Saccharomyces cerevisiae S288C: one gene and its partners. Changing the gene in region 1 together with any one later gene gives a genetic interaction. Each region holds a gene or a part of one and is shown on either strand. Other genes may lie near its edges.

Region 1 (3,930 bases):
TTGTAGTCACCGCCGGATGTATTAAAAGTAAACCAGTTTTGTATTGTGACATCGATACCTTCACTTACAGTGTATATGCTTAGATCAAATGTGATGAAAGACTTCTGCTTAGAATACCTTTTTAATATGTCATGAAATTAAATGATTACTAATCATTTCTTTTTTTTATTTTTTTTTTCCAGAAGCTTTTGAATAGTATCGGACTTATTCCGGTACCGGGATATGTCAAAAAAAGAAAAATGAGAAACGAATAGATATTTACCCAGAAAGTAATGAATGTATTTAATGAATTACTGAATTATTAAAATTAGTAATAAATAGCGGTTTATATGAAGAGCTCTATGTACGCTAGTATGGCATTACATACCTACTGCAAGTAAAAAAGGAAAAAAATTTGTGACATTTTGTAAATATGCTGCGTGAATTTGCCTAATGAGTATTTTTCCAGAAATTACAAAACACAAATAAGTAGAATGTGTTTAGTGTATTTGTAATTCATAGACTATTTATTGATGCTTATCTATTATACCTGGGGTTTCTGCTTCGTCCTCGTCCTCGTCATCATCGTCGTCGTCGTCGTCGTCGTCGTCGTCGTCGTCGTCGTCATCGTCGTCATCGTCATCATCATCGTTGTTGTTTTCGTTCTTATCTTCTGTATCTTCTTCTTCGTCGTCGTCTTCTTCCTCATCCTCATCATCGTCCTCTTCCTCGTTATTTTTTGGGTACCCACCCAATTTCATAACGATTTTGTTAACAATCTCATTCCAGTCCATCATACCCCCGAGACCAATATCACCATTTATATCCATAACTTTCTCAGACGGCTTGAAAACAGTGACCCAGGACATTTCCTCCTTTATCGTTTGTAGTTGCTTCTTTGTCATCATAGAATTAAAAGTGCTACTCACCATAGAAGGTGCCAAAAGAATGGGATAACTCGGATTCCAAGCTCTAATGACACTTGTCAGAAGATTGTCGCACAGGCCCAAAGCAATTTTTGATAATGTGTTTGCAGTTAATGGAGCTACTACCAGTATATCCGCCCAGCGACGTAGTTCTATATGAAGTACAGGATCAGTTCGTTGTTTCCATGCGTCCCATTCATCTTGGTCGGTCCATAGTTGAATATGTGGGGGTAACTCGACTACTTGAGCCATGTTGCATTGTCCTGGTGTTGGTGTCACTGGAGTTGCCGGAGTGGATTCGTACTGCGACATTTTATTTAGTTTTTCTGAAGATTTGATAATTTTCTTGGTATATCTTTGTTCGAAAAACTGTGTTGCTGATTGAGTGAGGATAACTTGAATGCTTATTCTATCACGTCCATATATTTCTTCTAGTTTTTTAATCATTGGCTTGATCTTAAATACCGATAACGAACCTGTAGCGCCAAACAACACGTGCAATTTTCCATCATCTTGAGGTAGTCTGGGATCCAAATTCTTGGAGTTCTCTCTTTTGGGGATGATGGAAGGAATGACGGACTGCTTCACTGGCGTTTCTTCCGGGGTAGAACGCACATTAATTTGGCCTGAAACATTGTTAGCTTGATCTTGTGCATCTTCCTTTCGAAGTGTAATACTGGTGGGGGCTTTGGCGGTTACCTTATTATTTTCTCTACTTATTGGCGTTGAAGTGGCCATGATTTTGTCAGGCTTCATGGTATCAACTATTTTAAGAGCACTGTCTTTTTTCTTAGGATCATAATCTTTCATTTCGTTGACGAGTGGAGACCCAGATAATTGCGTTGTTCTTGAAGTGTTGGTGTGGTTCGGTATAACTGCATGATTGCCAGGAATGGAATTTGAGACAGGAGCAGGATTACTATTTGGAGACTTGGTCCTTTCTGAGTCGTTCTTCAGCTGAGTCAGACTATCCTGCTTTTGCTGTTGCTTTAGATCACTGAAAGTGACGGCGGGGACTCTCTTCAAACCAGGCTCCGGAGTATTACTTACTACTGCGCCGGAGGTGCCGGTGGCATTCATAATAGATTTCGTAGTCGTGGTAGTAGCATTCGACAAAGTAGGGCTTATTGATTGCCTCCCTGACACGGGGGAGTTGATTATTGAATCCTTCCCCTTCGCATCCTCATGGTCCAACAAAATCTCTTTCTGTCCACGCGAAAACCTTGGACACTCTATAGACTGGTTATGGTCAGCATCTTGCTTCCCGCTAGTAGAGGCGACGGCAGTCATTGCTGTTTGCTTCTAGATCTTTCTTCCCTATTAATTTTTTCCTAACTAATATTTCTTTATATTTTATCCCGGAATATAAAGTAGTATGACAGCAAAGAAGGCCAGGCTAAAAAAAGATCTCTCCAAATGTAACTGGACGGCGCTGATAAGTGGACAAGTACAAGTGAGGGATCGTGATCCAAGAGCACTCTGTGACTTCTTCTCCTCTAATATCACCTCCCCAGAAAAGCATCGATGCCATTTTTTGCAAGAGAAAAAGTTGCGTGCGTCACTGCCCACGAGCACATGGGGTGAGTTATATAACATAAGAATATTGCTTTGACTCATGTTAAAAGCAAAAGAAAAAATAATAATGATCATTAGAGATACATCAAAGACGATCATGGCATTAACCCAGGGTACGTGTGTTAGATATGATAGGGTACCCCGCGCGTATAAGTTACGCCTTGAATGATATAACACGTTAAAGTTTCTAGATCACGTGAATCATTACCATTTTTTAGGTCATCCTACGGATAATGGCGAAACCACATAATTGCTTTGTAGATCTCTTTTTATGCTGGATGGATGGCCCTCTGGAATGCATCCTTCACGAACACAATTTATGAAACCTCAGGTTTGATGCTCCGGAAAGCCTATTTCTCACGTTTTCCGGCACTTAATGCGCATATAAAAACATAGTCTCTACGTTACGAGGATTTATCATAGAACCCAAATCAGCAGTAATAAATTTCCACGGTCAAATTAAACTCTTGTCGTTGATATGGGTGTAGTGTGATGGTGGTGACCACTATTTCGCCTTTATTAGTTATTTATATGAGTTAGCCCTCCGAAGAACTCATCCTTGTTAGCTCAGTTGGTAGAGCGTTCGGCTTTTAAGCGCATTTGCTTAAGCAAGGATACCGAAATGTCAGGGGTTCGAGCCCCCTATGAGGAGTTCTTTACTTTTTTAGATTCGGCGTTCAATGCTAAAGAAAAAAAATGAAAATAAGTTTCAATTAATAGTGAAAGAAAAGGAAGGAAGTTAGAACTGAAATGCGTAGACTACCTCCCCCAAATTTTTTCTTGTTTGGTTGCATTATTTCATGAATTCAACTAAAAGGCTGAAAATGTCAACAACCTTTCATGATTATGACTTGGAAGAGCCATTAACCTCAAATGCCAGACCACTAAAGAACTCCGTTATTACAATCCGAGTAATAAAATCTTTCCCATATAGAAACGTCAAGAACATAGTGCTGCACGATTACGATCTTGCTGATAAAACTGCAAAGGACCTGTTCAATGACGTTTTGAACAAAATTCAAAATGAAGGTTCATTCAGACCATTCCGTAATGTTAAGTTTGATACTTTAAAGATATACACGCACGCACATGGTTCCAAGACGGTTAATCTCGTGATCAATTTTGACCACGATGACGACTGGACTTTAGACATAGAGAATGACAAAAAAAAGCTGTTCGAGTATGGCATTGAGAATGAAACCGAAATTTCGCTTTTCAACAAAGAGGATTACCTAAGGTTTAAAGAAAACCCTGAAGAAAAATGGTGAGATGTTGTTTGGCTTATGGCCTTCATTAATAAGTAAGTGCTATGAATATATTACATATATATATATATATATGTTGTGTACGAGAGTATACTCGTATGTAAATTAACATCAAATGTGTATGTGGAAATGCAGAAGAGAGCAAACTCTCCTTTAAAAAACAACCTGGTTCCTATAAAAAATGT
Region 2 (5,312 bases), on another chromosome or scaffold:
TACATTCAAGATCTTTTACCTGATTTCGACCAGACCAATCCGGATGCTTGGTTATCTGAACAAAAAGGCCTCCAAGAATTTCTTCTCAAGTCACACTGGAAGTTAAACAAATATCAGAATCTTATGAAAAAAATCAACATTTCTTTACCAGATAACCTAATACAGCAATACCAATTGACTGATGTTTTGACCCATCGTGTCTTGAATTTACGATTTCCTACGAACACTGCCCAAGATGATAAATACATCATTCAATATTCAGATATCAGCCGCGGATTTTTGAACAATGGCTCCTACAGACAATTAGATTTCATCAATGTGAACCCCAGTGAAACCTCACTAAAAACCTTTATCAATGATGTTTTAAGCTTTTAAGTTTAACGGAAAAGAGTAATGACAAAACCGCATACCCCCCCCCCCTCCCCCTCTTTACCGCATCTACTCTATTTCCGACACATGTAAATAAAAAAGGCATTTCGTTTATATATATACTAAAATAATATATCTTTGTGTATTAATAAATTACTTATTGAGACCAAGCGTTTTTGATAGCGCCGACTTAACAGCAGCACTCTTTTGCTTTTTTTTTCCTTCCGCTGTACCTGGACCATCGTTTCCTGTTTGTGCCTCCACAGGTAAGGGCGGCAACTCTTCGTCATCTTGATCCGCTGGTGCCGTCATCTCACCTAACGCATTTAACCTTCTTTGTCTTTCGAATTCAGTTTCTGATTCATATGCATTATCGTCGTAATCTTCACTATCGTCCATGTTATAACTATCACCTAAATCCTCCTCAGATGAAGGTTCATCTTCCAGATCTAAGGAATCTTGAACTCCTCTCGGTGGCGCAGGTGTTAATGTCCTTTTCTTTAACATCCCTGGGCCCTTCCTGGAGGGTCCTTCGATGGCTTTTTCTTCATCTACTGGAGGCGGTACGCCGCTGTTCGCTTTGCTCTTTAGTCCTACTGCTGTTAAAGCTCTTGATACAACACTATCGTTTCTTGGGCGGTTTTTACTTTTATCATCATCAGATTTATGAGGATTTATCTTGTATCTTTTTATAACATCACCGTCCTCATTCTCGATGATTAACAGATTGTCTATTTTAAATGCATGATACTTGCTGTTTTTATTTTTATCCTTTCCTTTATCAACCAATGAATGTATCTTTCCTAAAGATGTGGGAGTTAAAATTCTCTTTAACCTTCCCCCACTACTACTGGATAGATTGGTCATTGTGGTAGTTAAACTTGAATGGGCTGTACTATCAACACTAACTTCGTCATCTCTCGCCTCATTGCGATCCTCGATATCTACTTGATTCAAGATTTCACCTTGCTTATTTTCAATAATCATTCTATTACCATCTAAATAAGCAGTACCAGGTTTCATTTCTTCCTCTTTCATTTTTCGAATTCTCCTCTCTTCACTACTGGCCATTGATCTTTCACTTTCATTTTCCATCTCGTCTTCGCTTTCAATCTCGCTTTCTGTCTCTTCTCCATCGTAACGGTTTCTTGGTACGTAAGTTCTTCCTCGGAGAGATGAAGATCTTTCAGACGACTCAAAACTTGGTGTGTTATTGTAATTATCGCTATATTCCTTTTCCGGTGTGTACTCATCTTCTTCTTCATCTCCACCCATTCCAATCTCCTCATTACGTTGTGTATTGACGGCTGTGCTCAATGCAAATGTGGCGGCGCGTGCTTCCTTTTCTTTTTGCAACCTTTCTCGTCCCAGATCATTCAACTCATCGTCATCATACATTTCATTTTTAGATCTTGATGAAAATATTTCTCTACCTTTGTTTCTCAGTTTCTGTCTTCTGTTCAATCTTTTCTCTTTTCTTGACAATTTCCTCCTCCTTGGCATACCACCAGCGGGTCTTGCAGGAATTCCGCTCGTTGCGACGCTACCAATTTGATCATTGTTTAATCCTTCTTCATCTTCACCTCCTGCTAGTCCCTTACGACCTCCTCCTTCTTCTGCTTCACCTTCATCCCCTGATAAAGTCATTTGAGTATCCATACGATGCAATGAAAATGATCGTCCAGCTTTATCCAACGATGGCAACCTTTGCATCCATGAACTTTTCCCATTATCACCATTGGTGGTGTGTGTAGTGAATGTTTTGGTTAACGTTATCGTGTTCAAATGACGACCTAGAGTTATGATTGCAACTGAAGAACCATGAACTATGATAGAAGTAACAATGAAAAAACAAGTTATTGGCCATATACAGGCTATCAGCTGCCAATGTTTACTTTCCTCTTTTGATGGTACAACATTTAAAGGAGTGGGTTCGTCACTAAAGGTAGACTCTAATTCTCCACGAGCTAGTATAGCGGCAAAAATTGCACCTACACCAATAGGACCAAAATGGCCCACAAAAAGTGCCTCACGCCACGATTTTATATCAGGTATAAGAGGTCTTAATATCATGACTGCAGGGATCCTACGTAAAAAGATGACCACTATCGAAAGTATAATTAAACGCCAGACGTTTGTGCCAATTTCACCGTTGTTGAATTGACTCCAAGGTATAATGGCACCAAAATAGATAAAATACGCATAGTTTAGTAGCAAATCAATCACGGTAGAAACATTACTTTCTTGTGTCTTTTGAGAAAACCACCCATCCCAAGCGAAAGTCGCACCGGCTGCAAATGATACCAATAGGTCATCCACACCCAAAATGGAGCCGAACCCAGCACACATGAACGCCAGGACAACGTAAAATGCTAAGAACGACTCACGATCGATAATGTTTTTCTTTTCGGCAAACCTGATGGTGATTCTGCCTACATAACCAATGAAGCAACCTAGCAAGCATCCAAACAAACACTCATACAGGATAGTAACGCAAATCCAATCTTTGACAATTTCTCTTCCATTACCGGGATGTAGGATTAAATTCATAGAAAGAAATAAAAAAGGAAAGGCCATACCATCATTGCAGCCTGACTCTGCAGACAGTAGATTTCTTAAGTGACCAGGTACTCTTTGGGCAAACTTACCGGAGACGACCGACTGCGCCAGAATAGGATCTGTTGCGGTAATGCACGCAGATATCAACAAACTAGCAGAAAAATTCAAGCCAGGTATAAGAATCCAAACGAAGAGACCAATAATAAGCCATCCAGCTGTCATCACTGGCAATAATAGCATCGTCACAGATACCCAATGCTTCAACATATATTTCCGTGGCAGTTCCACGGCAACGGCAAAAATTTGCAAACATAATACTATTCTCGTTATCTCTAATGTTATACTGTCTGAATTCCCCCATTTCAGAGGATTAAACCAGTTCAAGCAAACAGGACCCACAATTAGCCCAAATATACCTGCTACGGTGGACTCACCAATATAAAGCTTCTCCTTGACATAAAGTGACACTAAAGAGAAGATAGATGAAAAGACACCAACACATGCATAAGCAACGTGCGCCTTTGAGACTTCTAGTTGCTCCCAGATAGCCATAATATCTAGCTAAGTTCAGGATTTTTTTTTATAATGTACAAAAAAACACGATGCTTGGGAAAAATAAGTGCAGTGGAAAATGAAGCTTAAAAATCAAATGTGTGTAGAAAGTGTGATCCTATGTAAATCGCTAAGTCCGCTTTATCTTGACGATAACGGATCCAGCAGCTTTTAGATTATTAGCTATATCACACAGAGTTGGCTTAGTGCCCTTGCTAATCAAAAATGAAAATCTTCCCAATCCGTACGGAGGGGAAGAGGCACTGCCGCATCGCAAAGAAAAATAAGATTATCAGCATTATATTGTTTCTATTATTATATATGGGACTAGGTGATAAGATAAAAGTTAAAACGGGACTCTTGTATGACCTGGTCAACGATATCATAAACCGTGAAGTCATATTCTATGATGGCTTTCTCCAAGAACAGTGTTGTCACCTCTTGTGACCGCAAGTGTATCCCCACGAGGACATGGAATTGCAAATTGTAGGTAGTTTGTAACCAGTGTTTGAGTTGCTTGAGCGTCTTCAGAAACGGATCTATCAGGTACTCGTTGTATATGACATCCATAGCTATAACGTACACGGAAGAACATGTTTCACCTATGAGTGACAACTCAGGATGCAGAGAGTGGGTCTTTTTGTCTTGCAAGTTTATCTTCTCCCAGTCTAGAGCGGCTACTTCCAAATGCAACGTAGACTTAGATGGAAGTGACGCTGCGGTGATATCAGCGTCGCCAACTGGTTCGACGGTGGGAAGTTCCAATCTTAGTGATCGGGAAATGCACCGCTTTCTGGTCAACTGTGATAAGTTTTCCATGATGTTATCTTTTAATTTATTAAGAATGCCCTTCTGATCTGTCGACACGTAGGTGTCGACGAAGTTACCAAGAATCACGGGCAAAATACCTGATATTCCTGCTCCAAGTTCCAAGATACCTCTCTTGCCGCGATCAGCGCCCGTGAGGTCGACCAGCCTGGGCAACTCAAGCTTGTGCCCCTCGCAAGAAGACCCGCAGGTTACTTCCACCTGACTCCCAAGACGGAAAGGTGCAGCGCTAGTACTATACAGCAGCCAGTTGATGAAGAAAGGTGTGGTAGACCACAAAACGTATCCTGTGGTGGAGTTTCCGTTGTCTCTGGACGAGCGCAAGCTTGATATGGACTGCCCCACGCTAACATGATAGCTATCCACAGCAACATTCTGATCTTCTTCAACACTACTAGCCTTATTTCTTCTTCTCACTCGCTTTTTTTTTCTGCCGCCTTCCAGCCCAGAGGGTTCAAACGTTATCTCTAGCACACCGCCCCTTCTATCCTGAATACCCAAATCCTGCGCCAGTTTCCCGGACTGGCCCTCCAATTGTGTGTACCGTTCGAACACGTGCTCGTATATTGTTTCCTCATCCAGTAGCCATAACTTGAATGCCATTCTGCCTAGCCCATTTGCGTCTTCGCTGCCGTAACCATTCTCTCTTCTTGACAGCACTGCCTTGGTCAGTTCTCTATATTTGTCGCGCCGCCGCAAAATGCACCCACATTAAAGAAGACGACGCCAATCGACACCCTAATTTGGAGGTGTAGATGCACAATGGCACATGCAGTTGGGTGCATTGTGCCAGCAATCTCGTCTCGATTTCTCTACATGTAACTTGTATATATATTTGAGAGAAGACATAATCGTTGGTGGGACTTGGAGGCTCTTGGTAGGTCGTATTTGTGCATCTTGAGAGAAAGCGAAACAGTGCTGCAAACTCAATACGTAAAAAATAACGCAATATGTGGGCTCAATTATCATATACTAGACCAGAATCTCAGAAGACTGACTTAACG
Region 3 (3,241 bases), on another chromosome or scaffold:
TACATAACAAGAGATGACTATCCCTGGAAGATTTATGACAATTGATAAGGGCACTTTTGGTGAATACACTGCTAGCACCCGTTGGCCCATTATCATTCAGAATGCTATAGACGATTTAAGTAAGCATCAAGAAACGGAGAAGAGTAACGGCACTAAGTTCGAACAAGGTGAAGTTATCAAAAAGGAGCTCAAGGAATTCCGTCAGGAGATAATTGATCGTGTACCTTTGAGACCCTTTACTGAAGAAGAGATCAAAATTGCCAACGTCCCGCTTTCGTTCAATGAATATCTAAAGAAACACCCTGAAGTCAATTGGGGGGCTGTAGAGTGGCTGTTCTCGGAGGTTTACTTGTATAGAAGAGTAAATGTTCTTTTCCAACGCCAATGCGAATGGGCTAAATTTGACATATTCAACAGACTTAAACAGTCAACTTTTGAGTCCTCGTTTTATGGTGTCGTGGAATTGGCGTTAAGGTATGAAAATCTGTTACCACAGCTGAGAGAAATGAAGCAAAATCCAGGAAATGAGATTGACGATATATTGAAAGTTCTTTTTAAAGAGTTTATTGAGATTTCTTTGTGGGGCAATGCCACTGATTTATCTTTATTGACCAACGCTACGTTAGAAGACATTAAATCAATCCAAGGGGCGAAAGCAAGAGCTGCATCCGAGTCCAAGATTGTTGTTAATGACACGGAGAAAGCATGGGAGGTATTAACCAAAGCCAGGGCCGATGCCAATAGCAGAGAAATTCGTGTTGATTTTGTATTAGACAATTCTGGCTTTGAATTGTATGCTGACTTGATGTTGGCAGCTTTTCTGTTACAAAGTGGTTTGGCTACCAAATGTATTTTCCACGCTAAAGACATTCCATACATGGTTAGCGATGTTATGTTAAAAGATTTTGATATATTAGTTCATGACCTGAGAGATCGTGAGTTCTTCCCAAGTGGTGAACCCTCGACAAAGGAATCCAGAGCTCTTGATTTATTTGCTGGTGAAATGGAAAAGTTCGTCTCTAGCGGTAAGATAGAATTCCGCGAAGATTCTTTCTGGACCACGGAATTAGATTATTGGAATTTGGACGCAAACGAAACCAAATACCATGGATCCATTTTGCACAAAGATTTGCAAAAATCCAATTTGGTTATTTTTAAGGGTGATCTAAACTATAGAAAATTAACTGGCGACAGAAAATGGCCCCGCACCACTAAATGGGAAACGGCTATCGGACCTCTTGCTACGAATGGTATTACATCATTGAGCTTGAGAACCTGTAAAGCCGATGTACAAGTTGCTTTACCTGAAGGTCTAGACGCGAAATTAAGTCAAGAATGGGAAAAGGAAAATCCTGGCCGTGGTTCTTGGTGGTGTTGTAGCGGTAAATGGGCAGTCATTTGTTTCTGCTCTGGTATACATAAATAAGAATATGATAAGTTCTCTATATAACTTTACTTTATGACTTTCCCTATGAAATGTTCCAAAAAAGCACATAGATTTTTAGTACGTGCCTTTTATTTTATGTACTTCTGATAAAAAAAAGAAAGCTCCTAAGGACAAATTACAATCAATGGCGAAAGAAGAGGAAGAAAGTAATAACGAGGAGAGATCATAAACATGGCGTCAGTAACAGAACAATTCAACGATATTATTAGCTTATACTCAACAAAATTGGAACACACATCTTTGAGGCAAGATTCACCAGAGTACCAGGGATTATTACTTTCCACGATCAAGAAATTATTAAACTTAAAAACAGCAATTTTTGACAGGTTGGCATTGTTCAGTACTAATGAGACCATTGATGATGTGTCTACTGCTTCCATCAAATTTCTAGCAGTTGATTACTATTTAGGATTATTGATATCAAGACGACAGTCGAATGATTCGGATGTTGCTCAAAGGCAGTCTATGAAATTGATTTACCTGAAAAAAAGCGTTGAATCTTTCATTAATTTCCTGACACTATTGCAGGATTATAAGCTTCTAGATCCTTTGGTTGGTGAAAAACTAGGTAACTTCAAGGATCGTTATAACCCTCAGCTTAGCGAATTGTACGCGCAACCAAAAAATAACAAAGATTTATCTGGAGCACAGTTGAAGAGAAAAGAAAAGATTGAGCTATTCCAGCGCAATAAAGAAATTAGCACAAAACTGCACTGCTTGGAGTTGGAATTAAAAAACAACGACGAGGACCACGACCATGATGAATTACTAAGAGAACTATATTTGATGAGGTTACATCACTTTAGTCTTGATACGATTAACAACATTGAACAGAATTTATTTGAATGTGAAATGCTCTCTAATTTCCTCAAAAATTCCGTACATGAAGTCAAATCATCAGGTACTCAGATACGAAAAGAATCGAATGATGATGATTCCACTGGTTTTACCGATAAATTAGAGAATATAAATAAGCCATTGATAGACAAAAAAGGTCAAGTCTTGAGGAACTTCACGCTTGTCGACAAAAGGCAACAACTGCAACAAAAAGTGCGAGGATATGGTCAATATGGACCAACAATGTCGGTGGAGGAATTTTTAGATAAAGAGTTTGAAGAAGGTCGCGTTCTTCAAGGTGGCGAAGAACCAGAGCAAGCACCAGATGAAGAAAACATGGACTGGCAAGATAGAGAAACCTATAAAGCTCGTGAGTGGGACGAGTTCAAGGAAAGTCATGCTAAGGGAAGCGGAAATACCATGAATAGAGGATAGAAAAAAATACCTATATACGTACACATAAGTATCTATTAGACAGATTCATATATTATTTTTTTTTCTGCCTACATCAGTTATATTTTAATCTTGTGCAAAAGGACTTCGTTATTTTTATTCACGGTGATTAACACCGGCGTAGAATCTACAATCAGATTTGAAGAAAATACCACAGGCTCTTTTCTTTCCGAGAAGTTGATGTCTGCTACGACAAATTCGTCGATGGATGGTTTTAGGTTTTCTAAATTCCTAAACTCAAAGTCTCCATTACTATATGATACGGTGATTATGCTGTCGTTCAAATCGAGTTGTATTGGTAGTGTTGACGATGGAGTCAATTGTTCCTTCAGTACAACTTTTTTCTTATCAAAAGAATAAACCAATAATCTCTCATTGCTTAGCTGAATCAGTAGCTTAGAAGTTTTTCTATCCAAAAATAAATGGTAACCTTCTTCTTCTGGCTTACCCGATAATATTGTATCAATCTTCAAATCAATTTTTTGTAGAAGCTTACCCTCGAAA

What was found. A genetic interaction does not mean that the proteins touch.
Region 2: of SIS2 (region 1) and NHA1, extra expression of one rescues a mutant of the other (dosage rescue), as found in Saccharomyces cerevisiae (3 studies listed by BioGRID).
Region 3: mutations in SIS2 (region 1) and TAP42 together harm fitness more than expected from each alone (negative genetic interaction), as found in Saccharomyces cerevisiae (3 studies listed by BioGRID).

Annotation. Positions count from the first base shown.
Region 1 is NC_001143.9:575,929-579,858, forward strand, and holds SIS2 (phosphopantothenoylcysteine decarboxylase complex subunit SIS2), read right to left. Parts: upstream 2,196-3,930; coding exon 507-2,195; downstream 1-506. Other genes in the region: electron carrier DRE2, read right to left, coding at 1-52; YKR073C (uncharacterized protein), read right to left, coding at 2,259-2,579; AIM29 (Aim29p), read left to right, coding at 3,281-3,748; YKR075C (uncharacterized protein), read right to left, coding at 3,899-3,930. UniProt on the Saccharomyces cerevisiae protein: Component of the phosphopantothenoylcysteine decarboxylase (PPCDC) involved in the coenzyme A synthesis. Acts as an inhibitory subunit of protein phosphatase PPZ1, which is involved in many cellular processes such as G1-S transition or salt tolerance.
Region 2 is NC_001144.5:416,605-421,916, reverse strand, and holds NHA1 (Nha1p), read right to left. Parts: upstream 3,481-5,312; coding exon 523-3,480; downstream 1-522. Other genes in the region: SLS1 (Sls1p), read left to right, coding at 1-375; RKM5 (S-adenosylmethionine-dependent methyltransferase), read right to left, coding at 3,808-4,911; TIS11 (Tis11p), read left to right, coding at 5,259-5,312. UniProt on the Saccharomyces cerevisiae protein: Sodium export from cell, takes up external protons in exchange for internal sodium ions. Also capable of exporting potassium ions.
Region 3 is NC_001145.3:325,864-329,104, forward strand, and holds TAP42 (Tap42p), read left to right. Parts: upstream 1-1,618; coding exon 1,619-2,719; downstream 2,720-3,241. Other genes in the region: YMR027W (putative methyltransferase), read left to right, coding at 14-1,426; FAR8 (Far8p), read right to left, coding at 2,797-3,241. UniProt on the Saccharomyces cerevisiae protein: Involved in negative regulation of the TOR signaling pathway in response to type of available nitrogen source. Inhibitor of PP2A phosphatase SIT4, which results in inhibition of nuclear export of MSN2, due to lack of dephosphorylation by SIT4.